Schizosaccharomyces pombe: one gene and its partners. Changing the gene in region 2 together with the main gene of any one other region gives a genetic interaction. Each region holds a gene or a part of one and is shown on either strand. Other genes may lie near its edges.

Region 1 (12,309 bases), 1.7 Mb from region 2:
AAAACAGGGAAAACCCTGAAGCAGCTAGAGAAAAATTTCAAAAGGTAAGAATTTATTAAACAAAATTTTGTCTTTTTTACGATTGAGTGAGTTTCTCGTGAAAAAGAGAGCGACTTGCAAATATTTCCTCAACTAGTGTTGGGCGTACTAGAACTGAAATAACAAAGTATAGTTAGCAGAAGCATATCAAGTTCTCAGTGATCCAAAGTTAAGGGAGAAGTACGACAAACTTGGAAAAGTTGGTGCGGTTCCGGATGCTGGATTTGAAGATGCTTTCGAATTTTTTAAAAATCTATTTGGTGGGGATTCTTTTCGAGATTATGTTGGCGAGTTGAATTTGTTAAAGGAATTGTGTAAGATGATTAATGAAGAACCTGAATTAAAAGCTATCGAGGATACTGAGGAGTCTAAAAAGCAACTTCAGCGAGAAGAATCGAAAGAAGCCGACCGTCTATTGCAAGAAAGAATAGACGTATTATGTAAAAATCTTTTGGATAAACTTTCTATATGGACTGAAACCGATATGTCTGATAGAGTGACTGATGCTTTCAAACAGAAAATGCAATTTGAAGCAGAATTACTAAAAGATGAGTCATTTGGGAATGAAATGCTTCATGCGATTGGTTCCACATATGTGCAACGTGCGAACATACTTATCCAATCCCAATCTTTTTTGGGTATCAGAGGTGTATGGGGAAGTCTTTGTGCAAAAGGAACTTTATTGAAAGACACTTGGAATACGGTTGTTAGTGCTGTAGATGTTCAGTCCTCTGCAGCTGCGTTAGCAAAAGCAGAAGAAGGTGAAGAGCAATGGTCCAAAGAAAAAAGAGATGAAGCTGCCCGTGAACTAACTGGTAAAGTTTTATCTGCAACATGGAAAGGAACGCGTTTTGAAGTTCAAAGTGTGATAAGAACTGTGAGCGACAAGATTCTTTATGATAAAGCTGTTCCTCTTGAGAAAAGGATAAATCGCGCTAATGCCTTGCTTATGATAGGTCAGGTATTTCTGAAAGTCGCGCCAAACGAAAAGAGTGACGCTAATTATTTTGAAGACTTAATGAACGACAGAGGTAAATAGTCATTATTGGATTTACGTAATAAAGGTTAGTGATTGTTGGAAATTGGTTCATAGTCGACTACGAAGGCTTTTGATTTGGGTATGCACCTCACATTTTTCAGCAAGTATGTAATATAGTCAATGTGTTTGTACAAGTGTCATTATTCTGGTTAAAGGAAGGAAATCTCATATATAATTCTTTCAGCCTTTTACTTATAAATTTCATATACAAAGAAAAATTTTCTGCTTTTATTTTAATTCATGTTGGGTATATCAAAATTTATTTTAAGGGCCCTCCAGGTGAATTGGGGAGTCTGGCTGTTAAAACTTCACAACCAGTCTCTGTAACTAACAGTGTATGTTCGAATTGAGCAGAACAGCGTCCAGATGCAGTTGAACTAGTCCAATCATCCGGCCAGGTAATGTCTCGGGCGGGACCTAGAGTAAGCATAGGTTCGATTGTAAAAGTCATTCCTGGGCGAGCAATTCCAGGTGCCTTGTTGTGGGAATAATGAGGAATACTAGGAGAACAGTGAAATAACTGGTTGATTCCATGTCCACAATATGTGCGGACGACAGAAATCTGCTTCTCAGTAATGCTATTTGTATGCTTTTCAATAATATTTCCGAATTCCTGAAACAATACTCCCGGTTTTACCGCAGCAATTGCTTTATCCAAAGCAATTCTCGTATTTTCTACAAGGCAAACGAGGTCAGGATTTGCTTTTGCTTTATCTCCAACATAGTAAGTCTCATTTAGGTCACCATGAAAACCGTTATGGTAAAGGGAAACATCAATGTTTACAATATCACCATCCTCAAGTGGCCTTTGATCTGGAATTCCGTGACAGATGATTTCGTTCACAGAAGTACAAACACTTTTTGGGAACGCGTAATAGTTAAGGGTGCTTGGAAAACAATCACGTTCAATGCATGCATTATGAACAATACTATCAAGTTCATCGGTAGTTGTTCCAGGACGGACGGCAGCAGCGGCAGCATCAAGTACCTCTCTACCAAGTCTACATACTTTACGCATACCTTCCTGCTCCTTGGGTGTCAATCTCTTCAGTTTGAAGCTTCGACCTTCAATTTGCTCGCTACGAGAGACTCCTGTCTTCGCATAGTCAGGTCTTTTTATATGTGGAGGAACCTTGCGTATAGGCGAAAGCGGATAAACTGGTTTCAATGAACCTGCGAAATGAAATTTTGGGAAAGGATTGTAAGTTCCATCCTCTGATGAACAAATTAGAAAAACGCTTGAAAATAAAAGCTATATACTTTTGTTGTACGTACCTCTCTTTTCTACATTCGGTGGACGATGAAGATGTTTGTGAATATTCTGGATTACCTAGTGTTAATTTACGTTACACGAAATTTTCTTGTATTACCCAGCTGTTCCTGAAGCATTCCTTTTTTTTTTTGAATTAGTAAATACGTAAACTAACAGAAAAACTAAATTACCTGTCCACAAAAGTAAGATTTAACTCCGTCATTTAGACATTTGGGACATTGCAGTCTGTCAGCTTCATTATTACAATCTATACCGCAACAAATATGTTTTGCAATTTCAGTAGCCATATAAATACTTTGTCTTAAGGGTATCACTCGCCTTAGTTTCTAGACTCGAGAATTTCTAGTCACACTAGTGCTTCGTAGCCGTGAAGTACATTAATGTCGTTGGAACCTATATAACCCAATGCCACTCTTTAAAGTTATGATTTTTGCAAAACTAAAAAAATAACTTTAATATATGCTTTTCAGTTTTTAAATAAATAATTCATTTTTCTAATTTTAATATGAATTTAAATCATTAACTTATGAAAAAATATGGAAGTTTCACAATACATTCTATGATTAGCATACTGAATGGCTCCTAGAATGTATAATTTTATCTTGTTCTCTTTCGTGTATACTGCGTATGCTGGTATTTGGATCTCGCTTTTTTCTTTGCAGTAGTTCAGGTCCAACGGTATAAACCGCTGAGGAAGCGCTAACGCGAAAATCGTTGGCCTTCGAAATATCTTGCTCGTCACGTGAAAAAGGTGGTCTTGAAGCCTCAATAGGGTTGTTTGAAGATGAACGGGTTGTTGGCAGATTTTCTGGAAGCCTCGATACGGCCATATACACTGTTAAAACGATTAGAACCGTGAGTTGAAGCATTAAAAGTCGCTTTTGAAAAGATGATTCTTGATATAGTGAAGTAATTTGACTCTGAAAGTATTCATTTTCTGCAGAAAGAAGCTCAAGTTTAGCTTGGAGAGCAAACAAAGACGGCTTAACGACACTTTTCGACAATTTCGAAATTTCTAATTGAAGGGTCGAGTTCAATTCATGTAATAGCTGCGTAAAATTCATGTTTTTGGCATTGTGCTTACCATAATTTGTTAATATTTTTTCTACAATTTCATCAAATGCCTTCTTCCGTTCTTCTAAGGTAGAAAGACGCTTATTTATGTTTTTGTAAATGCTTTCCTGATTAGAAGGAAAGGTAGATATTTGAGCGGTACTGTAAGAAGATGAAGAAGATGGAGAAATATCGTTAAAAGAGCGAGTTGATGTTGCAGGATATGATTCACTTTTTCCTGTTTCATTTCCTATAACAACAGTGCTCAAAGACTTAGATATCACAGTAGAAGAAAGTAAGGTGTCTGTACTATTCAACTCGACTGATGGATTCTTTCTCACTGGTTTGCTTTGAACATCGGTATCTTCTTCGTCCACAAAAATAGGACTTTCTTGAGGCTTCCGGATTTCATCTGCTTTAATAGCGCTTCCGTCGTTCACTTTTTGTTCTAAGAAGTCTTCATTTGCTTCTTCAAATTCTTCTATCATAGTTTTTCCATAAACCCTAAGTAGGCTTACAGGACAATAAAATTCTGACCCATAATGAGTTAAAAACTCTATTTTAAGATACTTCGCCCAAATAAGAGGGTTCTCAATATGAAAAGATTGAAGAGTCCTTAGGTTTAAGGCCGTAAATGTACCCAATTCCATCCAAGAAGACTCGTATTTTGGATATTTACCGCTTACACTGACCTTGAAATCACGAAATATACTTGAAAAAAATTCGAAGTTGGCAATTTGAACTGTATCGACATAAATATCCTCACAAAGTTCAATTACCACGAACTTGTTTTCAGCGGAACATTTGTTCAGCATATATTTGTCTTTGTTTTCGGTCAGAATCGAAGAAGATCCGACTGCTTCAGGATTTGTTTTAATGACAGCAGCAGCGCAGTCAGTTGAAGCAAAGTTGAATCTTTTTTCTTCTGAGAATGCAACAGTCTTTTCATCTATATTTGAATCAATTGTAGCTGCTGCTGAAGTAGAGGAACCATCCTCAGAAATTGGTAGAGTAACCGAAGAACTAGTAATAATATTAGTATCAATAACTTCCGTTACAGAATAGTTTTGCTCTAGCTTCTTTGAGGATGAAATTGTAGACGTCTCGTTCACCAATGGTGGGCTAATTGAATCTATAAATTCGCTAGTACTTGTTCCATTGGAATATTCATATTTTGACAAAAAATTAGAAGAAATGGTATCACTTCCATTCAAACTCGTTTTTGTGTGAAACGAAGGTTCCTGGTACTTATTTGTGGGAGTGAAATCCCATGTTGTAGGGTTGCTAGCTTCTTTTTCTTCAGATTTGGTAGCAATCACAGAAAGGTACGCATCACATACCAAATTTTCGTTATGCGTATCTGGTGACTTCAAACACAATGCCGGATATTTACACCAATGACTCGTTTGTGGAGAGCAGCAGCATAACCGAAATATAATAAAATAAATTAAAAAGGCATTTCCAAATGCAGACAATCTTCTTTTGACCATATGATTTAGGCAGCCCTATCAGTTTAATGTGGTAATTGGCTCAAGTCAAGTGCCACACACTAAAGTGTTAGCATCAATCATCGCACATGCCCTTGTTTTATCGCTTTGTTGGTAAAACATGTCTTTTATAACGATTTTAATTAAAAAAGAAGAAAAAGGGTAAAGAAAAAGGCTTGCTTTAATCACATTTCTTCGTATAATAATCAAAAATAAAGTCGTCTACAACGAAACTTCTTGACATCGCATATAATATTTTGCAATGGGGGTTTCAGGTCTTTGGGATATTTTAGAACCGGTAAAAAGGCCTGTCAAGCTAGAAACACTTGTTAACAAACGGTTGGCAATTGACGCTTCAATTTGGATTTATCAATTCTTAAAGGCCGTACGTGACAAAGAAGGAAACCAGCTGAAAAGCAGTCATGTTGTAGGATTTTTTAGAAGGATATGCAAACTATTATTTTTTGGGATTAAACCTGTATTTGTTTTTGATGGAGGAGCGCCGTCATTGAAACGCCAAACTATCCAAAAAAGACAAGCCAGAAGACTCGACAGGGAGGAAAATGCCACGGTCACGGCCAATAAACTTCTGGCTTTGCAAATGAGGCATCAGGCAATGCTTTTAGAGGAAAATAATAAAAAAGCTACTGCATTGGCAAATGCCTCGGTTCAAAATGAGAGACAAATGCCTTCATCTATGACATTGGATAATTCAGAAATTAAGCCAGTACTTAATCAAAGAAAAAATTATTTGAAGCCTGATCCATACCAACTACCTGAAATGGACGTTTCGTTTGATAAGTTAGGGTCGAGTTACGACCCTCGAATTATGTCCCAGGATGAGCTTACACAATATGTCTCTAGTTTTACTAAAATTGAAGATATAAATTTATTTGATTTTTCAAATATTGATTTTGACTCTGAATTATTTCAATCATTACCCGATACGGATAAATATAGTATTTTAAGTGCAGCAAGATTACGCTCTCGTTTACGAATGGGTTTAAGCTCTGAACAACTTTCCGAGATGTTTCCTAATAGAATGGATTTCTCTCGTTTTCAAATTGAGAGACTGAAGGAACGTAACGATTTAACTCAGAGATTAATGGACTTTACTGGAATGAATGAGTTTGGACCCTCTAGAGTAGTAAGTGAAAAAAACCGAGAATATATTTTAGTAAAAAACGAAGGTGCTGAAGGTGGATGGGCTCTCGGTGTTATCTCAGGATCTACAAACAATGAACCTATTATTATTGATGATGAGGCTACAAAACTTAGCAGCAATCTTATAGACGAAGACGAGGATGAGGCATTCTACGATGTGCCTTTACCTAGCCGATCTCATAGCATGAACCCTAGAGAATTGGTAGCCGCTAAATTAAAGGAAATAAAAGAAAATTCATTTTCGGAAAATCAGCAATCAGATGAAGCAGATTATAATGTTACTGATGATTTAATACTTCAATTAGCAACCCAGCAATCTCTAGAGGAAAACAAAAAATCAAAAGAGCTGTTTAGTCTTTCGGCTTCTGAGTTTGATAAGTTGAATAGCGAGAAAAAGACGTTTGAAATTTTGTCGACCGATATTCCTGCAGAGGATTCAATGAATTCACTTCTTAACGACGAGGAAAATTTGAAACTTGAACATGTTGGAGATGTTTCCAATGATTCATTAGCATTCGCGGAAAAAAAGCATCCTGAAAATGGGACTTCAATTTTTATGGATGCCCTTCCATCTGCGAGTAGAGAGAAAAAAACCAATGATTTAATTGATCCTTTACCTTTTCAGCCTATGGATTGGGGAAAGTCTATTTTTTTCGAGAAATTAAAGAAACCAACTGAAACATTTATGGATTCTAAAACTGATATACCAAGTGAGGCACCGGATAATTCTAAACTTGTGGAAGATACAAATTTACATACTATTAATGCAACAGTTAATATTGAATCCGATTTAGACGCTGCTAAACCTGGAATTGAAAATCCAATTATTTCACCTCTTCTTCCGGTAAAAGATGATGAAAAAGATTTAGACTTACGTGAACTCAATCCTTTGGAACCCTTTGAGAATATGAAAGAACAAGCTGATGATGGCACAGTTACCAACCCATTAAATGTTTCTAGTGATAAGGCCATGTCAGTGTATTTATTGAGCTCCGAAAATGCTAAGGATACTGGGGATATCAAATCCGAATCAATTGACGCTGTTCTTCCTACTTTAGAGACCAGCAGCCCTTCACTTAGCATTCCAACTGACTTTCAAAAAGAAGCCTCTCCAAATAAAGGAGCTGCTGCCTTGAGTTCGAAAGTAGAGCCTGAAGTGGTTGAAAAACTTTTAGATGAGGAAGAAGAGGAAATGATTATCAGGATGGCAGAAGAAGAAAAGGAATATGATCGGTTTGTTTCAGAACTCAATCAACGACATGAAACTGAAGAGTGGAATCAAGAGGCCTTTGAAAAAAGGTTGAAAGAGCTCAAAAATCAAAAAAGGTCTGAAAAACGTGATGCGGATGAGGTCACTCAAGTAATGATTAAAGAATGTCAAGAACTTCTGCGTTTATTTGGCTTACCATATATCGTTGCTCCTCAAGAAGCAGAAGCCCAGTGTTCTAAACTTTTGGAGCTAAAGCTGGTTGATGGGATTGTTACTGATGACTCAGACGTGTTTCTTTTTGGTGGAACTCGGGTATATCGAAATATGTTTAATCAGAACAAATTTGTCGAACTCTATTTAATGGATGATATGAAAAGAGAATTTAATGTGAATCAAATGGATTTAATTAAGTTGGCACATCTTTTGGGAAGTGATTATACTATGGGACTTTCTAGGGTAGGTCCAGTTCTTGCACTGGAGATTTTACATGAATTTCCTGGTGACACTGGACTTTTTGAATTTAAAAAATGGTTTCAACGTTTATCAACTGGACACGCATCAAAAAATGATGTTAATACGCCAGTAAAAAAGAGAATTAACAAGTTGGTTGGAAAAATTATTTTACCATCAGAATTTCCTAATCCGTTAGTTGATGAAGCTTATCTTCATCCGGCCGTGGATGATAGCAAGCAATCGTTTCAATGGGGCATACCCGACCTTGACGAGTTACGCCAGTTTTTGATGGCTACTGTGGGTTGGTCAAAACAACGAACTAATGAAGTTTTACTTCCGGTTATACAAGACATGCATAAAAAGCAATTCGTGGGTACACAGTCCAATTTGACTCAGTTTTTTGAAGGTGGTAATACTAATGTATATGCGCCGAGAGTTGCATACCATTTTAAGAGTAAACGGCTTGAAAATGCTCTTTCATCTTTTAAAAATCAGATTAGCAATCAAAGCCCAATGAGTGAAGAAATTCAGGCAGACGCAGATGCATTTGGTGAATCTAAAGGATCAGATGAACTACAAAGCCGTATTCTTAGAAGGAAGAAAATGATGGCAAGCAAAAATTCCTCTGATTCAGATTCAGACTCTGAAGATAACTTTTTAGCAAGTTTAACTCCGAAGACGAATTCTTCTTCAATTTCTATTGAGAATCTACCTAGAAAAACCAAGCTTAGTACTAGCTTACTAAAAAAACCCAGCAAAAGAAGAAGAAAATAAGTTTAATAAATTATTTATTTATTTGTTTACTTAACTGGTTGTTCCTATAAAAGAAGTTACTGTAATTTTTTGTTGAGTAAATTTTTTTGAGTTTTCCTGCTGTAACTGTGTTTAGACAAAGTAATTGAGCAACATAGCTTATATTTTGTGATTTATTCGTGTTTTGATTATTTACAATTTTTCTTGCTCTTTGTTACCTTACCTAATGTCACTTTCTACTACAACCTACTTAGCAGCAGTAAAGTAAAAACGGAGAAACAGAATATTTTTCGAAATGTTAAGTACAAAAATTGATGCGGAAAATGCGGAAAATGCCGCCGAGGTAAGCCTTGGTTATTATTTATTTAATAATACTTACAGATTTTAGATTGAAATGCAGGTACGTGGTTGTAGAAAGTATTTAGTTTTGGTAAAGCATGTACTGATTTAAAAAATTTTAGTTTGCAGTAAAAGCTGTTGAACAGGCTCGTAAGTTGAGCAAAATATGATGGAATAAAAAATAACAATTTAGAAATATACTGGAGTCTTTTGGAAATGCGCAAGGGAAGCGAGTTAAAGCTGACAAAGTAAGTATATATTTACATCTTTAATTTAAAGTTCAAATTGCTTACTATTGAATAGATACGATGATGAGATTTTTGAAGATTTAATAAACACCTTCCCCGAGTTTAAAGACCCTAAAACAGCTTCTTTTGTTAATGAGGATGAAATGAAGTCCGCCAAAGGAAAAGCTGCCTGGCGTCCATTTTTAATGCGCTATGAAAAGAAGGTTGACGATTACAATTTTGGTACTCTTCTTCGTATTAAGAATACTGATGAGTATGAGCAAGAAACGACTATTTTTGGTATGTACTAGGAATCAAATTTAATGGTCTAAGAAACATGGCCATTTTTTAAGTGCCATTTTTTTAAAAAAAATCGTTTATGCGATCCATGAATTTCCATATTTTAATGTTCTATTTTATTTAGCTAACAAGTCTTAGTCCCTCGTATGCAATTTTTGGCCTACGAAATCGCCCGTAATAGATACGGTTTGAACGATTGGATTAAAAAAGATTAGACCTTGTTAATAAATATTACAACTCATCCAAATTTTTCTGAAGGAAGTATTTGTACAAATGATTGCTCCGTAGTTAGATAACATATACATTGGTTTTTCCTAATGTACAATTACAATTCAGAATAAAATCAAAACAAGTGGATGAAGGTCATATTTCCTTCTCTTATAAACGTATATCAAACAAAATTCATAGTGCTTGAGTAAGAAAATGTTATTTTTTCTAAAGTTACTAATTGAGAATTGTGACAAGTAAACAACAAAACCAAAGAGACCAGATTTCCTATGCTAATCAGAGTGATGTTTACAATTAAATCCGTCCTGATTATTCGACGTTTTTTTTTTTTCTAACAAAGTGACTCACAACTTGTTTAGATTTCTAGATATTGTGTAAGGAAATAATTTTTGCTAAAAGTAAACACTTTAAAGAAATGATACTAATAATATGAAGGACTGCAAACTTTATATTTGAGTATAATAATTCTTATAATTATATGAGAACAAAGTGCATAGATTTACTTCAGTGCAAACACAGATATAAAATTGTGTCGAGCTTTATGTTTCTAACTTCTAATAGCGAATCTTTAACCCATTGAGCATTTCAATTATGTAGCACTATTTCATACGTAAGGGCTGCATACTTATTAACTATTTTTTTTCAGAAATCTCAACTTGAATTTTACTAATTCATGTATTTACAGTTAGCAAGATGCTTCTTTTTTTTCGTAATCATTTGAGATGTAAGACGCCGGTTAAGAATTTGTGGGATAAACAAAAGAAATTACGAGGACCACTTACTTAGTCTATAAGTTGATTTTGCCGACCATAGTAAAGGTAACTGCATAAAATTATTGGTATTTAATTCTACCTTACAGAATCTCGAGAATTACTATATACTTAAAAAGAATTTCATGTACTTTTTCTGCAAAATAATTACAAAATATTGATGAATTTATTACTGGTCAATAAACCACGAATCAGTATACCCACTAAAAGCAAAATTTCGGTTCGCTTGTAAAAATAACAAAAAAAAAATATTATTATTAATAATAACAATGAGTTTCGAAAGTTCAGAATTCATTTGAACGAAACAATTGCGTATTTAAATTTCACAATTAAGCAAAATACTTGAAGTTATCAACAAAGGGTCCATTCTGCGTTTCAGGTGCATTTCATATTCTTTGACTTTTTATGAAGCAAATGCGAAGTTACACAGAAGCAACTATTTTTCAAGCAAGTTTGTTTGAGCTCACACCTAATTTGAATATATAGATTAGATATAATTTGTTCATCTTGTAATTTTACTTATAGATCAGAATGCTTTGTTAAGAATATAATCATCTATTTGATTACAGATCCATTCAATGAGCAAATTAACTAAACATATGTATTTCAAAATTCAAACCCATATAAGTTAATAGTTTCAGTTAGTAAACCAAGTGATTTTATGCGACTGAAAAGGATTTCCGATAAATAAAAATTGGTAAACGCATTCATTTATTTCACCAATCTCGGCATCCTTTGCAAGTTAAGATATGCATTACAAATTTTTGATGTTTTTATTTTACAGTAGTTGGTTATCTATGAGACGTACACATCTCAAAGAATGACAATCACTTGCATATTTTTTTACTTGGAGGAGCTACATATTAAAATTTTCGAAGAGCCAATTTTTTTATATTTGACCGAGCCTTCAATGGCGCTAATAACCGACTTGAAAACGCAAGTTGGTATAATACTATAGATTTATGACGAGACTTCGGGAGCGTATCCGAGCACACTGTCCCGTATCTAACCGGACTTTGTTTACCGAAATGATAAGATAATAGATGTTAGCGAGAAGTATACAAATTTAAGTAAGGGAGGCAGTCATAACATTTACTAACAAATGCACTACCACTGAAGTTCTTTCATTTTGTACGATTTAGGATTCGCATATATTCATAAATTTCAGATTTTGTCGTCTCGAAACACTCCTTACTTATTCATGTGCATTCATCCAATTGTAGCTAATTAATCGAATGTCGAACCCAAGAACCAAATCTCCTAATACAAACAGAGGTCAAGGATTACGTTCAGAGCGCTCAGCTCTCTTGAATGACTCTCTGTCTTCATTAAATGGAAACTCATCATATGACTCTATCAAAGATTCTTCCAAAAACAACAAGGATGTTGCTGAAGTGAACGAGTACCCTCGTAGGCCAGAATCTTCAGTGTCTGTAGTTAGCAATTCGCCTCATCGCCAGGATGCAGCGACGACTAATACTGTGTCTACAGTTTCTGTTTCCAAAGTTCTTCCGGCGTTATTGTTGGGTGTTGTTTTGGCTGCTTTAGACAATACCATTGTCGCCTCTACGTATACGAAAATTGGTGCCGAATTTGGAAAGTTTAGTCAAGTTTCATGGACCGCTACAGCATACATGATATCTTGCACTGCGTTCCAACCATTGTTCGGAAAATTTTGCGATATCTATGGGAGGAAAAAGACTCTTCTGGCGGCTTACTGTGTATTTGGAATAGGCTGCTTCCTTTGTGGTACTTCTCGCTCTTTATGGCAGCTAGTAGCAGCTCGAGCTATTGCTGGAATTGGTGGAGGAGGCATGAATTCGACTGTAAGCATTTTAATGAGCGATATCGTGCCTTTAAAACAAAGAGGAACTTACCAAGGAATTATAAATGTATTTTTTGCTATCGGTTCAAGCCTTGGCGGACCAGTGGGTGGTTACTTTGCCGATCAATATACTTGGAGAATTGGTTTTT
Region 2 (11,236 bases):
ACGCGCTATGTTTCCGCGGAGGCTCCTATATCTGTTAAATCCAGCATCCCTGCCATACCGCGTGTCACTTTCGAGAGACTTTGCTATGAATCTGCTATAGCTAGTAATCTTCCACCAAATGCTCTCTCGCCTCTAGAAGCTGAGATGCTTTCTGAAATCCTTGAGAATCCGACATGGCTTTCTCTTTATTTAAGTATACGAAATGGCATTTGTTACCTTTGGCATAGAAACCCGACTCTTTATGTATCATTTAATGAAGCTCTTGGTATTGTTCGTGAAAAAAAAGCATTTCCACTGGCTTCTCTGGCATTTGAGTTTTTGTCTCGTAACGGTCACATAAACTATGGGTGTATATATATTATATCCTCCCTAAAATTAGATGAATCTCTTTCCCAAAAAACTGTTGCTATTATAGGCGCAGGCATGGCAGGAATATCTTGTGCTCGCCAGCTAACCAACCTATTTGCTCAATATGAGCAAGATTTCTTAAGCCGGGGAGAAAAACCTCCTCGCATAGTTATATACGAAGCTAGTGAACGTTTGGGTGGCCATATCTATACCCATATGGTTCCATTGAGTGATAATGAAGTTAGTGAAAAAAGTTCTCTAGCTACAACTGTGAATGCCACAAATGAATGTATGGTTAACTTATTGACCGATTCTTTAATCGGAATGCCCACGCTCGACAGTGACCCCTTATACATAATTTCCTCACAACAGCTTTCGTTAGATGCAGTACATACTAGAAATAGAGAGTTTATCTTACATGATATCGAAAATGGAAGAATTGATACCGAACATGTTCAACGTATTTTTCGTTTATTTGATGCTTTACTTTTTTATTTCAATGCTTCAGCTAGTAAACAGCCCCTTCATTCGTTGATTACTCCTCCTGAGCAAGAATTCATTCAAAAGCTTGACCAAATTGGTTGGTATATTTCAATTGAAGCCTTTCCTTTACAAATAAAGGACACTTTGTCTGAATTTCTTGGTAATTCGGCTAACACCCTCACTTCTTTATTGCATCTTACTGTTTTAGATTTAAAAATTTTTGAATGGTTTAAGGAATACCTTTCACAATCACTCTCTGTTTCTCTTGAAAATGTTTATCCGGGAAGCATTCCAAACCTGAATTTATTATTAGGTGAAAATGTCGCTTCATATTCCTTCAAACATGGAATGGCGGATATGCTAAACTCCCTTGCTTCAACACCTTCTCCACTTCCAATTCTTTTTGACCAGTGTGTCCATACTGTAAAGCTAGAAGATAATACGGTTAACTTATCATTTGTAAATGAAACAACAGTTTCAGTCGATAAAGTGGTTATATGTATACCTATGGACAAGCTGAATACCCATTTGATTACCTTCGAGCCGCCTCTCGAAGAAAAGAAGCTAAAGGCTATTGATAGATGTCATTTTACCAATGTGAAAAAGGTTATCCTCATTTTTAAAACCCAATTCTGGGAACCAAACATAAGTATATTTGGTTCACTACCACAAGATTCAGGTAGAAACTTTATATTTAACGATTGCACTCGATTTTACGAACATCCCACATTATCAGTCTTTGTGAAGGTTGAAGGGATCGACTTTATGAAGGATGATGATATAGTGAATGGGATTGTATCTCAACTTAAAAAAGTTTATAAACCGAAATCAGAAGCCATAAATCCTATTCGAACGATTATCAGTAACTGGGAGAATAATTCTTATACAAATCACTCATCATATCAAATATCCAATTTGTTTTTGGAAGAGGATTATGCAATATTGTCTGAGCCCATTGACAATACTGTGTTTTTTGCTAGTGAAGCAATTTCCCAAAAAAATTCAGGTTCGATACGCGGCGCATTTGATTCGGGCATACTGGCTGCTAGAGATGTTTTGGCTTCGTTAATAGGCAATGTTGTTTTACCTAACACTCTCGTTATTGAGGAAAACTTGGAACAACCCCGTAAAACGTACGGCACGAAGCGAAATGCTCAACAAGCTTTAGGCAAAGAGGGAGAAAGAGAAAATAAGGAAAAGCGCATTTCATACCATACCGAGTATTTACGCTTGAGACAAAAAAGACTTGATAAAGAACAGCAAGAATGTGATTTACTAATTGCCGAATTATTGGGACCGTCTCCTGTTCCACCATCAAGGCCTAGTGCTAATCCTTACCTTTTGTACCAAAAAACTCAATGGCACGTTTGTAAAACTCTAGCAGATCAGGATAAACAAAGAGTTACTGGCGATCCTGAAGCACGTGCCACAAAAAATGAGATACGTGCAAAATTGGGAAAGACATGGCGAGCCTTGGATAGTTTAGGTAAACAACCATGGGTTGATGAAATTAACGCGAGACGAGCAAATTATTCAACTCGCCTGGAAGAGTATCAACGTCAAATTAATTCCTACAATGTGAGAGTTGCCCAAATTAAATCCGAACATCAGCGAAGATGTGAATCTCAACCAATTCCTGAAGATGAGGCTAAGTTAAAATTACTTGCTGAACAAGAGGACGAACATCTACATCCTGAAAAAGAGGGCATGTCCGTTGAAAATAGTGATGATGATTATCATGATGATTTAGATTATGAGGATTCAATAAGTGAAGTATTCCCTGACAATTTCTCATGAGCTTCATTTAAAGTTTTTTTTTAAGGGTAGTTTATATGAGATAAAGATCAATTTTTACGTTTAAGTTATAATGGTATACTAAATTTTATTTTTTCATAGAAAGGAATGACATTTATGAAATGCATATCATCTTGTAAATCCACTTGTCGAAGCTTCCTAACCACCATAAACCCAATTCTCTACGATTTGCTTGGTTATCACATATATACGAGCTCTTTAGAGAAATACTAATATGTCAAAAAAATATGGCGGTCAAATTTCGTTTGATCCACCAGCTAGGTTGGAAAAAGATCAAGTCGTCGCCAAAGTTGTGCAACTTAAAGGATCTGCGCTTTTTATGGTAGTAGAAAACAATGGACAGGAATTACTTGTTGAGATGCCTCCAAAGTATCGTAATAAAATATGGGTTAGGAGAAATGGGTTTGTAATAGTTGATAAATCTGAGTTTTTAGAGAAGGACAATAAAATTGACGGTACTATATTGTACGTGGTACAAAGCCCTTTAAAAAATTGGAAAAAACAAATTTATTGGTAAGAAATTCTCTTGAAATAACATTAGATGATTGTGCTAACTAGTTTAAAGGCCTAAAGAGTTTGCAGATGAATCGTTAAATCAAAACGATTCTGAGGAAAGCAGCAGTAGCGAGGAAGAATACGATAGTGACTAACAATTTACAAAAAATACATATATTAAGAATCCTTACAACGAACCTTGTAAATTAAACCGATGATAAAAAGCGTATAACGGGAAATGCTTGCAAGAATTACTTCATCCCACAATCGCTCATTACAATTGAGTACTTTGTTACACTTTAAACAATCCAATGAGAAATACTGATATTATTACCCTAACATTAAGATATTATACTAACCTTTTCATTGAAACTGAAATCACCATGCATTAGCTTTATAGCAATCCTCACCATAAAAAGCAATGACAATCGTGCGATCATTAAATTTACAACCTTTCATCTCTTCCATTGCGACCTCTGCAGATCTGATATCGGAGTATCGTACAAAAACCTTTCCAGTTCCTAATCCCGAGTTTCTAGTGCCAATACTACGAGGAATTTTTATATCTATAAGTGGTCCATAATTCGAAAATTGGGTCTTTACAGACTCATATATGTCTTCATATTCTTGTACATCCATAATTTCGTCCCCAGTAATTAAATTATGTAATTGTAAGACTCTAGTTGGAATAGATTGTGATGACGCCTTAGCAAGTTCTGTCAAAATGGCCATTCCATTAGACTTATCTATCATAGCTTGATTGAGACCTACACAAGCAAATTGTGCGTGTAACTTGTTCCCATACGTATCTTTACCATCAAGACCGCTGATAGCTACTTCCGCATCAGAAGGATTTTTAAATTCGCAAAAACAAAAACCCTTCGAAGATCCATCTGCAATATTTTTTATCAATTGAAAGCTTAATAAATCACCGAAAGGCTTAAGTAGCTCCACCACTTGATCTTCGCCTAAATTTAAAGGTAAATTTGAAATGTAAATTTTGTCTTTTGAATCTAAAACGTCGTTCTTGGCATAATCATCACTTCTTTTTTGAGAAACTTCGGGGGTAATTTGAGGGACGATGTAATTTTGAATTCTTTGAAATTTTAAAAAGACATCATTAGAATATGATTCGGACTGAAGCCCCCAGAGGAAGGTGGCATCTTCAGGAGTAGCGACCTCAAGAATAGCAAAGTTTTCTTCTTTACAGACGTTGACAGAGGAGAAATGCTTTGTCTCGGGTTTATGGTATGTAGTTGAAATAAATAGATCTTCGATAAATGATACAAAAGCATCTTCAACGAATTCGTTAGGAATTCCAGTAACCACTAGTCGACGAGCCTGTCTGCTAGCACCTGGTTGTAAGGGCGGAGGGGGAGCAATAATACTTCCTTCCGCAGAGCGAGCAAATTCTAGCAATTTCTCTGGATCAGTAACTGCAGCTCTAGGAGCGCCTGGCAAAGGAAAAACACCAGACATTTTCGCCTGGTCAGCAGTAACCAATTCATAACCAGGTGGTTTAATGTCCCATAAAGAGCGCTTCCTTTTCCACTGATTTATTGGTGTTACATCTCTCAATTGTTCGAGTTCCTGTTCGATAGACCTTACGCTTCTTTCTCGGCTGGGAGGTGGACTTCTACTTCTTCCGACAGATGAATAACGTAATGATCGAGGCTCATAATCATCATATCTTCTTTCTCTTCTTGGCCTCTCATCCTCTCGATAACTTCTTTCACGAGATTCTCTATGTCTACGAAAATCACTTTCGTCTCGGCGACGTCTTCTAGGTCGTTCAGAGCCATAATGGCCTCTCGGGTCTTCCCTTCCTATCCCACCCGAACCTCTTTCTCGTCTAGGTTCTTCATCGCGATAATCTCTGTGTCGCTTGGGTATCCGTGAAGAACCTGATGATAATCTGGAAGACAAATCCATGTTAGTGAATGAATATGAGGCTATTTAAAAAATTATTCAAAAAAGAAGGGAGGGAAGAAATTCGTTTATTAAAATGAACTCTTAAATTCTCCGGAAAAAACTTTGATGAAAGTAGGGAATACAAAAGTACAAATTCTAATGAAATGATATGCGCGTCAATGCTCTTGGATTCCTTGCTAAAAAAAATTTATAACATGAACAATAATAATTAACTTATTTTTTCTTTATGTGATACGCCCAAGGTTAGTCAAAAGTTTCGACTTACTAAGTTAAGGTAGTGAGAGTTTGTAGTAACTTCGCCAGCGTCGTAATTTTAAGCACAACGTTGTTGACTTACATTTTCTTTTTAGTTTCAAATAGCAACTTTCGCTAAACTTGCATTATAGACAACACTGTAACTTACGAATGCAGTTAAATTTTCAAAAGCATTTATTTAAACTGTTGTCCTTACCCTAGTACCATTCTCCTAAGTTTTAACGAATTTTTCTCTTTTGACCATAGTATTTGATTGTATGGCTTTCTTTTAAAGCAATCTTTAAAAATTTACAGCTGCCATGAAATTCAATAATTTTCGTTTTTTTTTTGCCAGTACATCCACGATAGATTTAATGTTTGTCTCATTTTATCCTTGAAATCCATGCTCTTAAATTGTATGTTCAATCTTTTAAAAATTTACTTTATTACACAAGAAGACGTTTACATTCATTCAAAATTTATTATTATTTATTTTCATACTAGCTTTCCATTGTTGTAAAAGCCGCTCTTTTTTTTAAATATTTGTTTACTTACGGCCATCATCTTGTGCACTTATTCAGTCGCGCTGCTGTGATATCTAAAAATTCATGAAACGATTCTTTAATGAAGCGTGCGACATAAACACTCCAGATAAATCTGGGGTAAACGAGAACAAGTTATGTTTCCCTCCCTTAAAAGTTGTATGTCAAGCACCAGAGACAACAGTTAAAGGACAAGTTGCCAATACTAATAAGCACAATGTATATTCTACTAAAAATTCAATGTATCTGCTGGGGTTCGAAGAAATCCTAAACACCGTCCTCGATTGTGAACCGCATATCTTTACTGATGATGAGTTGAGGGTTATTGAAAACTTTAAAGCTTTAGACTCGGATGAACGGTACTTGTTTGTTCGTCTATTCATGCGTAAAAGAAATAAATGGTTCCGCGTGGGCCATTTGACTTATCCAGATTGCAAGGATGTTATTGCCTGCTGTAAGCAGCTTGTTCTGAAAAATTTTTTTGAAGATGAATCACTCATGTCAACTGAAGAAATAATTGAAATTCTATCTCTCGATGAATTGCGTTCGTTAGCTAGACAAACGAAGGTGTGTGGAAAAAGCAGGTCTGAAATTTCAAAAGAAATCATTTTCCTATCTAAAAGACAATCAGTACTACATTGTAATGGTCAACAATTTTTGTCCTTTGATGCTTTTGGTGTGATGCATAAGCAAGAGTCGTTTCTTCGGAAGCAACTATTATATCAATGCAAATCCTGTGTGAAACCAAAGAAAATTTTAGTAGACCTATTTCATCGAATTAATATTGTGTACTTTCGTTCGTCCATTTATGATGAACAATCGCTTACGTCTTTAATATTAGCACGCCTTAACAAATTTTCCTACCCGAATTACGTTTTATCGCGAACTTCAAACGTCTTTAATTGTCGTGCTCAATGCCTTGAATACGTTGAGGTTTTAGAACTTTCAAAAAACTTGGTTCCAATCTTTGAAAACACTGCCGCTTCGGATAAGGAAGCACTCGAACAAGCGTTGAACAGTTTTTTTGAAATATATCCTATATGGTCGACATATCTAAATGAAGACATTAGGGAATTTTGGGTGGAAGAAAATAGAAAAGTAGATACTCGATTGGTAAGGTTTTCTTTTAGCTTTCGTCCTGGTGCTGTTTACACATACTTAATACATAAAAGTCTAAATATTCTCGCGAAGTCGCGATTAGTTGAGGTTGAACATGAAATATTAGATACCCTTTTATCTCAAAATATATATTTGGTGGGTAAAAGAGGACATTGGTATAATAGAAAAGCCTTACTGGAATACAACTTTAAAACTGAGGATACTAACGTTTTGCGTTATTGGAAAACGCTTGCTTTATCAACTTGTGAAAATGGTATTGAAGACAAGTATACCCACCTCAGATATTACTTTAGCTTACAAAGGAGACTTGTTCGCTTACGGAAGTGTTTAAAAGTCTCTAATACTACCGAATTAAAAAGCATGAAACTTATAAATAATAATCCTTCAAGACTTTTTCTTCATGGTGAACGAATACATAACGGTGACCTTTCAAACCGGACTGTTTGGCGTAGCAAGACTAATAATGCTATCACAGTTGAAGAGCTTGCTCTTCAACATTATCAATCGATTGGGTGGGAAGGTATACATGCTGAAAGCAGCATTTTGCTAACTTTGTTTGCTTTGACATTCTGGGATATTTTGTTTGAGGACGTTCCTGGTGTTTTTCAATCTCCGTTTCAAAGTGCACCTTTGGATTTGCACACTGATTCCTTTTATATATCTAGAGAATCGACAATCATGAAAAGACTTGAGGAAATAAGAAATGGGAAAGCTGGCCTAATTATAAAAGATAATTATATCAGAGAGCACCAAAGAAAAACATTTTGTGTAGGTCTTAATTGGTCGTATACTTGCGAAATGCTTCTTGAAATTGTCGATTGTATCAACGATAATGGACTCGCCCAAATATTTCTTGCTTTGACCCAAGATTATAAAAATAGTTCTAGCGGGATACCTGATTTATGTTTGTGGAATCCGTCTAAAAAAAAATTTATGTTTTCAGAAGTTAAAAGCGATAATGATAGGCTCTCAGAAGCGCAAAAATTCTGGATATCATTACTAATATCCAGTGAAGTTGATGTTGAAGTTTGTCATGTCTCCATGCACAAAAAAAAATAAAAAACGTGATTGTTAATCTTTTCATTAAATGCATAGCTTATGTAAATTACACTTTGCTTGCTGAATTACCATCGTTTTGCCAAGGAGAATAACTTAGTCATTTCTCATTTTAGAAATGTTGATTGATTTTGAATGGATTAAGTATATAATATGCAACTTATTGGACTGAATTCACATATTCTATTCCAGTATATAATTAAGTTTCAACCCATGTTTTCATGCTGTATACCAATTTGTTTAAAATCACATTCATAATCAAGTAGGATTTTTAATGATACATTGCTTTTTAATCAGTTTAAAGTGAAATAGAACTTACGTTTATCAATGACTTAGTTATAGCTAAAATACTAAGAAATCTGAACGTGATTATTATTGATTGGTCTCAGAATTCGCAAGCTTGACTTTCTATTCTTGGGTAACATGTTACCCAAGTAATTTAGTGTATATGTTTGCAAAACACTATGAGTCACAGGTAAAGCGAGACTCAATTTTTTGTATTAATAGCCACTTTTTGAGAATTGTGGTTTTTAATCCTAAAAATAAAACAATTAGTGGATTTTCCTCTCAATTTTATTTTGAAATTTAAACAACTCTTATTAGTAATTCAAAATGGGTGGTGGAGATCTAAATATGAAGAAAAGCTGGTAAGTGGATTTATTTGCATTAATATAATTGTTTAAAGATGTTTTACTAATATTATGATTAGGCATCCTCTGCTAATGAGGAACCAGGAAAAAGTTTGGAAAGATGAGCAAGCTCACAAAGAAGAGATGAAGCGAGTCGAGCAACTTAGGCGAGAAATTGAAGAAGAACGTCAACTATTGGAATTACATCGGCTACAAGAAGCTGCTGGTGGAAAAAAAAGAAAAGACAGAGTTGAGTGGATGTATGCAGTTCCTAACACGAATGGACCCAATCGTGACTCTTCAGAAATGGAAGAATATTTGCTTGGAAGGCGACGTCTAGATGATCTTTTAAAGGACAAGATAGAGGATCAAAATAATTCATTAGAAAAAACAGAGTTTATCGCTCTTCAAAACGCGAACTCCCTACAAGACACACAGGCAAAGTTGCGACTAGATCCTTTACTTGCAATCAAGCAACAAGAACAAAAACAACTACAAACGCTTATGGAAAAAAGGAAATACTCTTTAGACTCTGATAGAAAGTCGAAAGAACGGCGGCACCGCGATCGTCATCATCGAAGCAATCAAGACAGAAGCAGGGAAAGGTCAGATAATGAACAACATTCTTCTGACAAAAGGGAGCATTCAAGAAGAAGCTACCGTAATGACCGAAATAATTGGAGAGAACGCACACACAATGATCGCTATCGGCATCGAGATAAATATGACTCTGGTTATTTCAAGAAACATTACGATGATGATATGCGCTTTGATCAGGGTCATTTTCAAGATGAAAGAGACCTAAAAAAATATGTGCGAACAAGCAGACAATATTCTCGTTCACCATCTCCGGATTTCAGGACTCGAAATCACCAATTTCATTCTCGAGACTCGCAACCTATCACTCAAAGGCATACCGATATAGAAAGCCGTTTACAGAAAATGCAAGACAATGCTAAGGAATTAGATGAGTCACGAAGAAAAAAAATTGAACTATTGGAAAAGAAAGAAAGAGATGAAGAACAGTTTTTGGAAAAAGAGAGACGCGATACCGCAAGAAAATGGGATAACCAAGGAGATTTTATCAGAAATATGAGAAAAGAGATCTACTCTGGTGATTCTGTAAGCTTGGCAGATCGTGTGAATAGTAGCCGACATAACATGTTAAGGCCGTAACGTGATTTCTATGTTTTTTCTAATATAACTTTGATGCATAACGATATAACATTTCTGAATAATGAGTGGAAATGACGGTGGTAAACAGTTGAACATATCAGTTTAGGGTTCATTAAATAAATAGCTTAACATCCAAATGCATTGCATGATAGACGGTAATATTTTTTAATAATACATGAATTCTTAAAATTAACCATTGTTATCAACCAGAATAGTCGTGATCTTCGTTAATTACTTGTACCCGTTCAGGAACATTTTCAGCTTCGCTTTCGCGATAGGTCGGCGATCCGATTACATATCTCTCATTAAATCCATCGCATGATGTCTTTGGTTGATTCATTTTCTCATTTAATTGATTGTGTACTTTGCAAGCCCACGTAGTTGCTGCTTTTCGAGAACTTGTTTGTGGAGGATGTACATCTAGTATCTTTTGGAGTTCCACAGAGTATTCACCACATGGCATTGTAATAGCGGAAGAAAATAGATAATGTCTTAAGATATCTCGCTCATCTAATGTTGGTCTGTTTGGATAATTGGAAACAACCGTATGAATTAACTTCCAGTATGCATTTACCATTAAATTATTCGTGTTATTATCGTGCTTCGTGGACATCATCTCAATTGGTTTTCTACCTTGACCTTCTCGATCCGGAAGCGATTTAATTTCAGGCATAAACAGACGCCAATCTTTGTCTACCATAACACTGTGAAAGATCCATATAATAAACGATAAGATTAGTAGGGTAGGGAGAATCACCTGAATTCTTCTATTAAGGATCATGTTTTATAGTATTTAGCTACTTCGTTTTCCCCGTAAGAACACCTTCATCTACCAAATTAATTGTAAAGGAGAACTGCAAGGACAGAAACTCACGCGGCTTTTTTGATCTGATATGCGGCATCGCTATGTTGCAATAACGAGAAGGAATTGATGGTAAACAAAACTAACCTCCTGGGTTATACAGAGCGAGTGCATCGTTATATCTAATGCTAATTAACAGAAAAACTTTTAAAGTAGTAAGATGGAACAGGCTGCTGGATGATCCAATGCATTACCAAATTGATTTAGATAAATGTATTGCCAACCCTTTAATTTTTTTTTTAGATATTAAATATCTTTTATATCAATTCTATATGCTTTTTATTTTAAGACTCAGAAGAGTTTTAATTATAAGTATAGTTAATAGTTAATAAATATGTAGTTTAGTGATAGAGATATAACCAAATAACAACAAAAAAATTAACTAAAGTATCATTATTATAAAGTCCATTGCTAGGTTTTATCACTATAAAATTTTTTTTAAGTTTGGAATTATTTACTAAAAAAAAGAAACTTAACGTAAATAAATAAAAACTAAGAGGACTTGTTAGTTTTTGTTTAAAAAATAAATAAATAAATAAAGAAGG
Region 3 (5,320 bases), on a different chromosome or scaffold from region 2:
CACAGTTTCGAGAAGCATTAGCTTTGCATTATACAAATGAAAAAGAGCTATTTGAGCAAGCGAAGAGATGTTTAAATATTTGTTGCGGCAGCAACAACTTTGCAAAACGGAACGACGTTTTGTTTTCTTTACTTGATGTTGCAGTTAGCATTTCGTCTCTTGAGTTACGGAAAGAGTTAATATCTGAATTATATGTTCCAGTACAGTCGTTAGAGGAGGCACCTTCAGAATATTTGGTTTCCTGTTGTTTACAATTAGCCACTATTTATGAAGCTGAGCAAAATTTTGAGCTTTTATGTTCTTCATTGGAAGCTGTCGAAAAACATGGTCATTTTGAAAACGACCTAGAGCAACTCTTGTTATTAAGAATTCGTTTAGGAGATGCTTATTTAAAGTTAGGAAAAGCTGAAAAAGCAATTTTAACCGTAAGGACAAGTATACCATTGGCATTTAAAGTTAGTAATGATCAATTGCTAATGGAACTTCAACTTTGCAATGCTCGCGCTCTCGATGAAACAGGACAATTCCTAGAAGCTGCGAAATGTTACTATCGGGTACTTCAATATAAAGTACCTGGAAATGAACTAATTTATAGAGAGAACTTGTGTTCAGTAGCTCAATGTTTACTTCTAGCGATTCCTTCTCCTATTGTTTTGCAGTTCCTCCAAGAAATCTCTCTCCAACCATCCGTCCGAGAAATCCCGTTTTATTCTCTAGTCGAAAAGTACCTTAAAAGAAAGTTTATCGGAAAAGAGGACGGAGCCTTTCTGTTGCCTTTTCTACTTCCTCACCAAGTAATTCATATGAATAGATTGATAGAGGATGGTCGACATTTTTTGGAAACGAATATCCTTTTTCTTTCAGAGTTTTTTGAAGTTTCTTCTACATCTATACTTGCAAAACACTTTAAACTTTCTGAGGAACAGGTTGATACAGTTGTTGCTGATATGGTGATACAAGAACGATTGAATGCTTCAATCGATCAATGTGAAGGATACATTACTTTTTTGCCAGAGTATGGAAAAGCAAACAATCTTCCTAATTATGTTAATAAAATTGCAACCGTTCTTCAACATTACGGTTCTTAGACCAAATGTGAAAAAAAAAACTGTTTTATAGTTCATCTATTTTATTCATTTAAAATAATATTTATTGTATAATGTCATAGAAATATTGACGTTCTTATTTGTATCTTTTTCACCTCGTGGTCGCTAATGTTTGTTTACATTATAAGTAACTTCCCTCTCTGCCTGTTCTTATATTATTTACATGTGCTTGTAACTCCAATTCGCAGTACCAATTGGTAATGGAGCAATTTGAGATAATCAGAGAATCGGATGCTGATCCTTACTACTTTAATAAAAATCTTCGACTAGAAGAATGCGAAATTGACGGGTTTACATCAATTTATAAAGCTCCACCTCCATATTCTTTTGTCGCTGGTCTAAGTAAAAATACTTCTTCTAACAGTTTTGTAATCCACAAATGTCTTCCACCTTTGCAAAGGAACAATACAATTAGAAAAAGAAAGCGAAATCCTTTTCTAGCTGACAGACCTTATTGTATCAACAGTGAGGACATGCCTTTAAGTGATGACCGAGATATGTTAAAGGAACGACACGTCAAATCGCGAAAACTTTTATTAAAGGAAAAAGGAAATCGTTTTTACCGTAGAAGTTGATTTTTATAATTATTACCACCTGTTTCTAACTGTTTGTCTTAAAACTCCTTCGCATGTTGATGATTTGTTTTAAGGAGCTTGAGCGAAGACTACTTTATGCTTGCCAAGAGGGTTTTTTTTAAGTGTTTTGCCTTGAACTGTGCAATTGCAAGGCTTTTCAGTAACAGGCCTTATTGCCATTGTAGGCCATTAAGAAAGTAAAAGGAAAAAAAATTAAAATCATTAAGGAACGCTAAGCTGCAGTGAAAGTATATTTCTCACTAGCTTCTCCAAATCGAAGTTTTTTGTAAATAAAACGCATTTTCGTGAATAATCGATGCTTTTTTTTTAAGGTGTTTTTTTCTTTTTTTTTCATTACTTCAATTTTCAGTTATTACCCTTCCTTAGGTATACTTCTTTTTTTTACATTTTAGACCAGATCCTGACCGACCAATTTTGGATCATCCAGCGTCACATAATAATTCATCCATAACACTTTTTAATACTTTGAAATTTATAGTTAGAGGTAAAGTTTCTAAATCTGTTTCCTTTGTTTTTTCGTTTTGATCTTTCAAAGGCATACCTAATATTCTACGACTTCTCATACACATTGTACATTAGAAAAAGTCGCTCTTGACGTCTACTCGCCGTTTCCTTAACTTCAAGACTTCTTTTAAGCGATTCTTGCGGATTTATCGTGTCTTTCCTCGAATAATAGCTTTCATTATTAAGCTAAACGAAACTTTACAACTTTTGAAATAACTTCCTTTAAAAGAATTCAATCACTTACTGTTGTTGCTTATACACCAAAAAACAAAAAACTAATAATTTTGCCTTTGTTTACGTTCACTGAAATGAGTAAACGAAAGTCATCGTCTATTTTAGATTTTTTTAAAAAATCTAATAATGGCAAAAACATGTGGGGTAATGAAGCTGTTTCTGTTGAAAAAACTGATTCCACCACCAAGCCCTCTACAGTAAAAAATGCAATTTCAAGTTCCCAAATAAAAAATGAGAAATTCTCACAGGAAGTCTTATTACAATTCAATGATCCAAGTTTCACTTCTGAAGTGGGTGAGTCTCCTCAATGGCAATCTTTTGGGGATGCTAACATCTTAGAACCTTTAAAAAATGAGCTGGTTAAAAACGAGGAGTCAACCATGTCTGAATTGCTTCTTTGTCCAATATGTGGAATAACTTTGGAGTCTTTAACTGTCGATGCCAATATACATGTCAATGACTGCCTAGACGGGAGAACAACGGAAGCTGTTTCAAAAAAGCTGAAGAAAGACTCTGTCGTTAAAGCCGATCCTTCGAATTCGAGTACATTCCCAATATCTGATTCCTGTAAACAGGCGTTATTACCTTTACCTGGAAAGCAAATTAATGTTCGGTCTGTTGTTCCTTTCTATAAATTAATGCCTTATAATATTCCTTTTGCCGTTGACGCATTTGCTTACGGTGCCATTGATGGTGTTGAAGCTTATTTTTTGTCACACTTTCATTCTGATCACTATGGCGGTTTAACTCCAAAATGGAAGCACGGTCCTATTTACTGTTCAGAAGTAACAGGAAATCTTTTAATAAATGTCATGCATGTTGATGAACAATATGTGAAGCGTCTCAAACTAAATCAACCATATAATATAATGGGTATTACTGTATATGTTTTGGATGCTAATCATTGTCCAGGATCAGCTATGTTTGTTTTTGAAACGCTTCAGAGTAATCAAACAAGACGTGTTCTTCACTGTGGAGATTTCCGCGCTTCTAAGGATCACGTTATGCATCCTGTTTTACGAGAGAAGACCATTCATAAAGTTTATTTGGACACTACATACTTGAATCCTAAATATACTTTTCCACCCCAAGCGGATGTTGTTCAAGCTTGCGCCGACAAAGCAATATCTATCAAGAAGTCAACAGATTCTAGGCTTTTGGTAGTAGTTAGCACTTATAGCATCGGGAAAGAAAAAGTAGCCGTTGCTATTGCAAAATCTCTTTCTTCACGGATTTATGTGGTTCCTCGAAAAATGCATATTATTAAACAACTTGAAAATCAAGATTTAATAGATTTATTAACGGATGATCCTACGCAAGCTTCCGTACATATGGTCACTATGATGGGAATACATCCGAATTCGCTTCTTGACTATTTGGAACAATACAATAGTTCCTTTGATAAGATCATAGGGTACAAAGTTACTGGCTGGACATTTCAACCCTTGGAAAATCGTGCACAACTTAGCAGTAGCTTAGACTCGATAATTTCCAGACCACCGAAATTTGTGGAATACGATTTAAGAGCGATTAGAGGAAGCACCGACAAAGTGGCAGCTTTTGTAGCCCCTTACAGTGAACACTCGAGCTTTTATGATTTAACTATGTTTTGTCTGTCGATGAACATTGGACATATTATCCCAACTGTAAATGTGGGTAGTCAACGGTCTCGTGAAAAGATGAATGTATGGCTAGATCGTTGGGCTTGGCGCCGAAAGAAACAAGGCCTACTTTCATTGGAAAATGTGGATTGGTAAACCAAAATCTACCACAATAATTTTCCTTTCTGTTTCTTTTAGGGTTATACGAGCTTGTCTGTAGCTATTATTTATGGTTCTTATAATTAATGTTAATGTGAGCAAAATGTTTTTGTATGTATGCTTTACTATGCCAATCCTTTATCCTTCTATATTTTATTTTTTTTTTTAGTTTCAGGAGTGCTAATACAAGATTATACAAAAAAATGACACCAAAGTGTAGGTGTATATTCATTTAAATCAAACTATGAGCTTGCAAATAATCCAAAACTTTTAAACTTTCTTTGAGCTTCGTTTTTTTATGATCGAATACTTAACATTAGTTCATTTAGGCTAATTTTCTATTTTTTTTAATTATAATAATAGAGCAATCTACAACGAATTGTCATCAAATAAACACCTTTCATTATAAAACACATCATCAATTTTTTTTCTAATTTTTTTGTAATAGCATTCGCCATTGATGAACGATGAACCTTAGTATAAAAAATTCTCATAAAACATTGCCCCGAGAGTTGAAACATCATAGGCGAAGGAGCTCAAGATTCAAATTTCCACTACAGAGAAACAACGAAAATAATTTAATGGAAAAAAAATCAAGCTACTCATAAATAACCAAAAAAAAATTCCAACAGTCCAGCAAAGGGTGTTAAGAGAGAAGAAAAATAAAATAAAATAAAAAAATATATAACAAAATTATAAAAAGTAATAACAAAAAGACAGTAAAAAATGATTGAAATATGAAATATTGTTGGGATTTATGGAAGCCTAGTCAACAAAAGACTGACTAAAACAAAGTTATTGTAGTTGAATACAGATAAAGATATGAAATTATCAATAAATAATTTCTTCCCAATGAATCTATAGGTAATTAATACCCGTAATTAACAGATTTAGCAAGTCATAAAATTCTCCCACTCCAAAAGGTGGCATAAAATAAACTAGGATCCAAAATAAATAGCAACATAACTTTGATAATAGCAGTATAGAAATTTGATATCCAATATAACTCAAAGATGGAAAGCATGAATGCCTATCAGTCCAGAGTATATATGAATTATGCGATGAGTCTTGATGTTGTTCGTTTCAAACAAAACAAAATATCGAAAAAAAATAGTTAAAA

Evidence for each region.
Region 1: mutations in fan1 (region 2) and rad13 impair growth when combined (synthetic growth defect), as found in Schizosaccharomyces pombe (one study listed by BioGRID).
Region 3: mutations in fan1 (region 2) and pso2 impair growth when combined (synthetic growth defect), as found in Schizosaccharomyces pombe (2 studies listed by BioGRID).

Annotation. Positions count from the first base shown.
Region 1 is NC_003423.3:2,669,202-2,681,510, reverse strand, and holds rad13 (DNA repair nuclease Rad13), read left to right. Parts: upstream 1-4,941; 5' UTR 4,942-5,153; coding exon 5,154-8,492; 3' UTR 8,493-8,521; downstream 8,522-12,309. Other genes in the region: SPOM_SPBC3E7.11C (DNAJ domain-containing protein type Caj1/Djp1), read left to right, coding at 1-44, 173-1,078; methionine aminopeptidase Fma1, read right to left, coding at 1,338-2,293, 2,354-2,399, 2,449-2,469, 2,522-2,638; SPOM_SPBC3E7.09 (Sad1-UNC-like protein), read right to left, coding at 2,915-4,894; SPOM_SPBC3E7.07C (uncharacterized protein), read left to right, coding at 8,767-8,814, 8,860-8,871, 8,933-8,960, 9,004-9,058, 9,114-9,337, 9,476-9,552; vacuolar amino acid transmembrane transporter Fnx2, read left to right, coding at 11,571-12,309. UniProt on the Schizosaccharomyces pombe protein: Single-stranded DNA endonuclease involved in excision repair of DNA damaged with UV light, bulky adducts, or cross-linking agents. Essential for the incision step of excision-repair.
Region 2 is NC_003423.3:1,007,392-1,018,627, reverse strand, and holds fan1 (fanconi-associated nuclease 1), read left to right. Parts: upstream 1-5,522; 5' UTR 5,523-5,915; coding exon 5,916-8,027; 3' UTR 8,028-8,280; downstream 8,281-11,236. Other genes in the region: lsd1 (histone demethylase SWIRM1), read left to right, coding at 1-2,628; tif1102 (translation initiation factor eIF1A-like), read left to right, coding at 2,861-3,159, 3,212-3,296; prp2 (U2 small nuclear RNA auxiliary factor small subunit, U2AF-59), read right to left, coding at 3,520-5,073; protein Cwf25, read left to right, coding at 8,637-8,671, 8,734-9,829; erv2 (sulfhydryl oxidase), read right to left, coding at 10,032-10,610.
Region 3 is NC_003424.3:1,155,987-1,161,306, reverse strand, and holds pso2 (DNA 5' exonuclease), read left to right. Parts: upstream 1-1,824; 5' UTR 1,825-2,514; coding exon 2,515-4,197; 3' UTR 4,198-4,820; downstream 4,821-5,320. Other genes in the region: COP9/signalosome complex subunit Csn4, read left to right, coding at 1-1,088; protein mug103, read left to right, coding at 1,307-1,681. UniProt on the Schizosaccharomyces pombe protein: Required for DNA interstrand cross-link repair. This requires cleavage of cross-linked DNA to generate DNA double strand breaks (DSBs).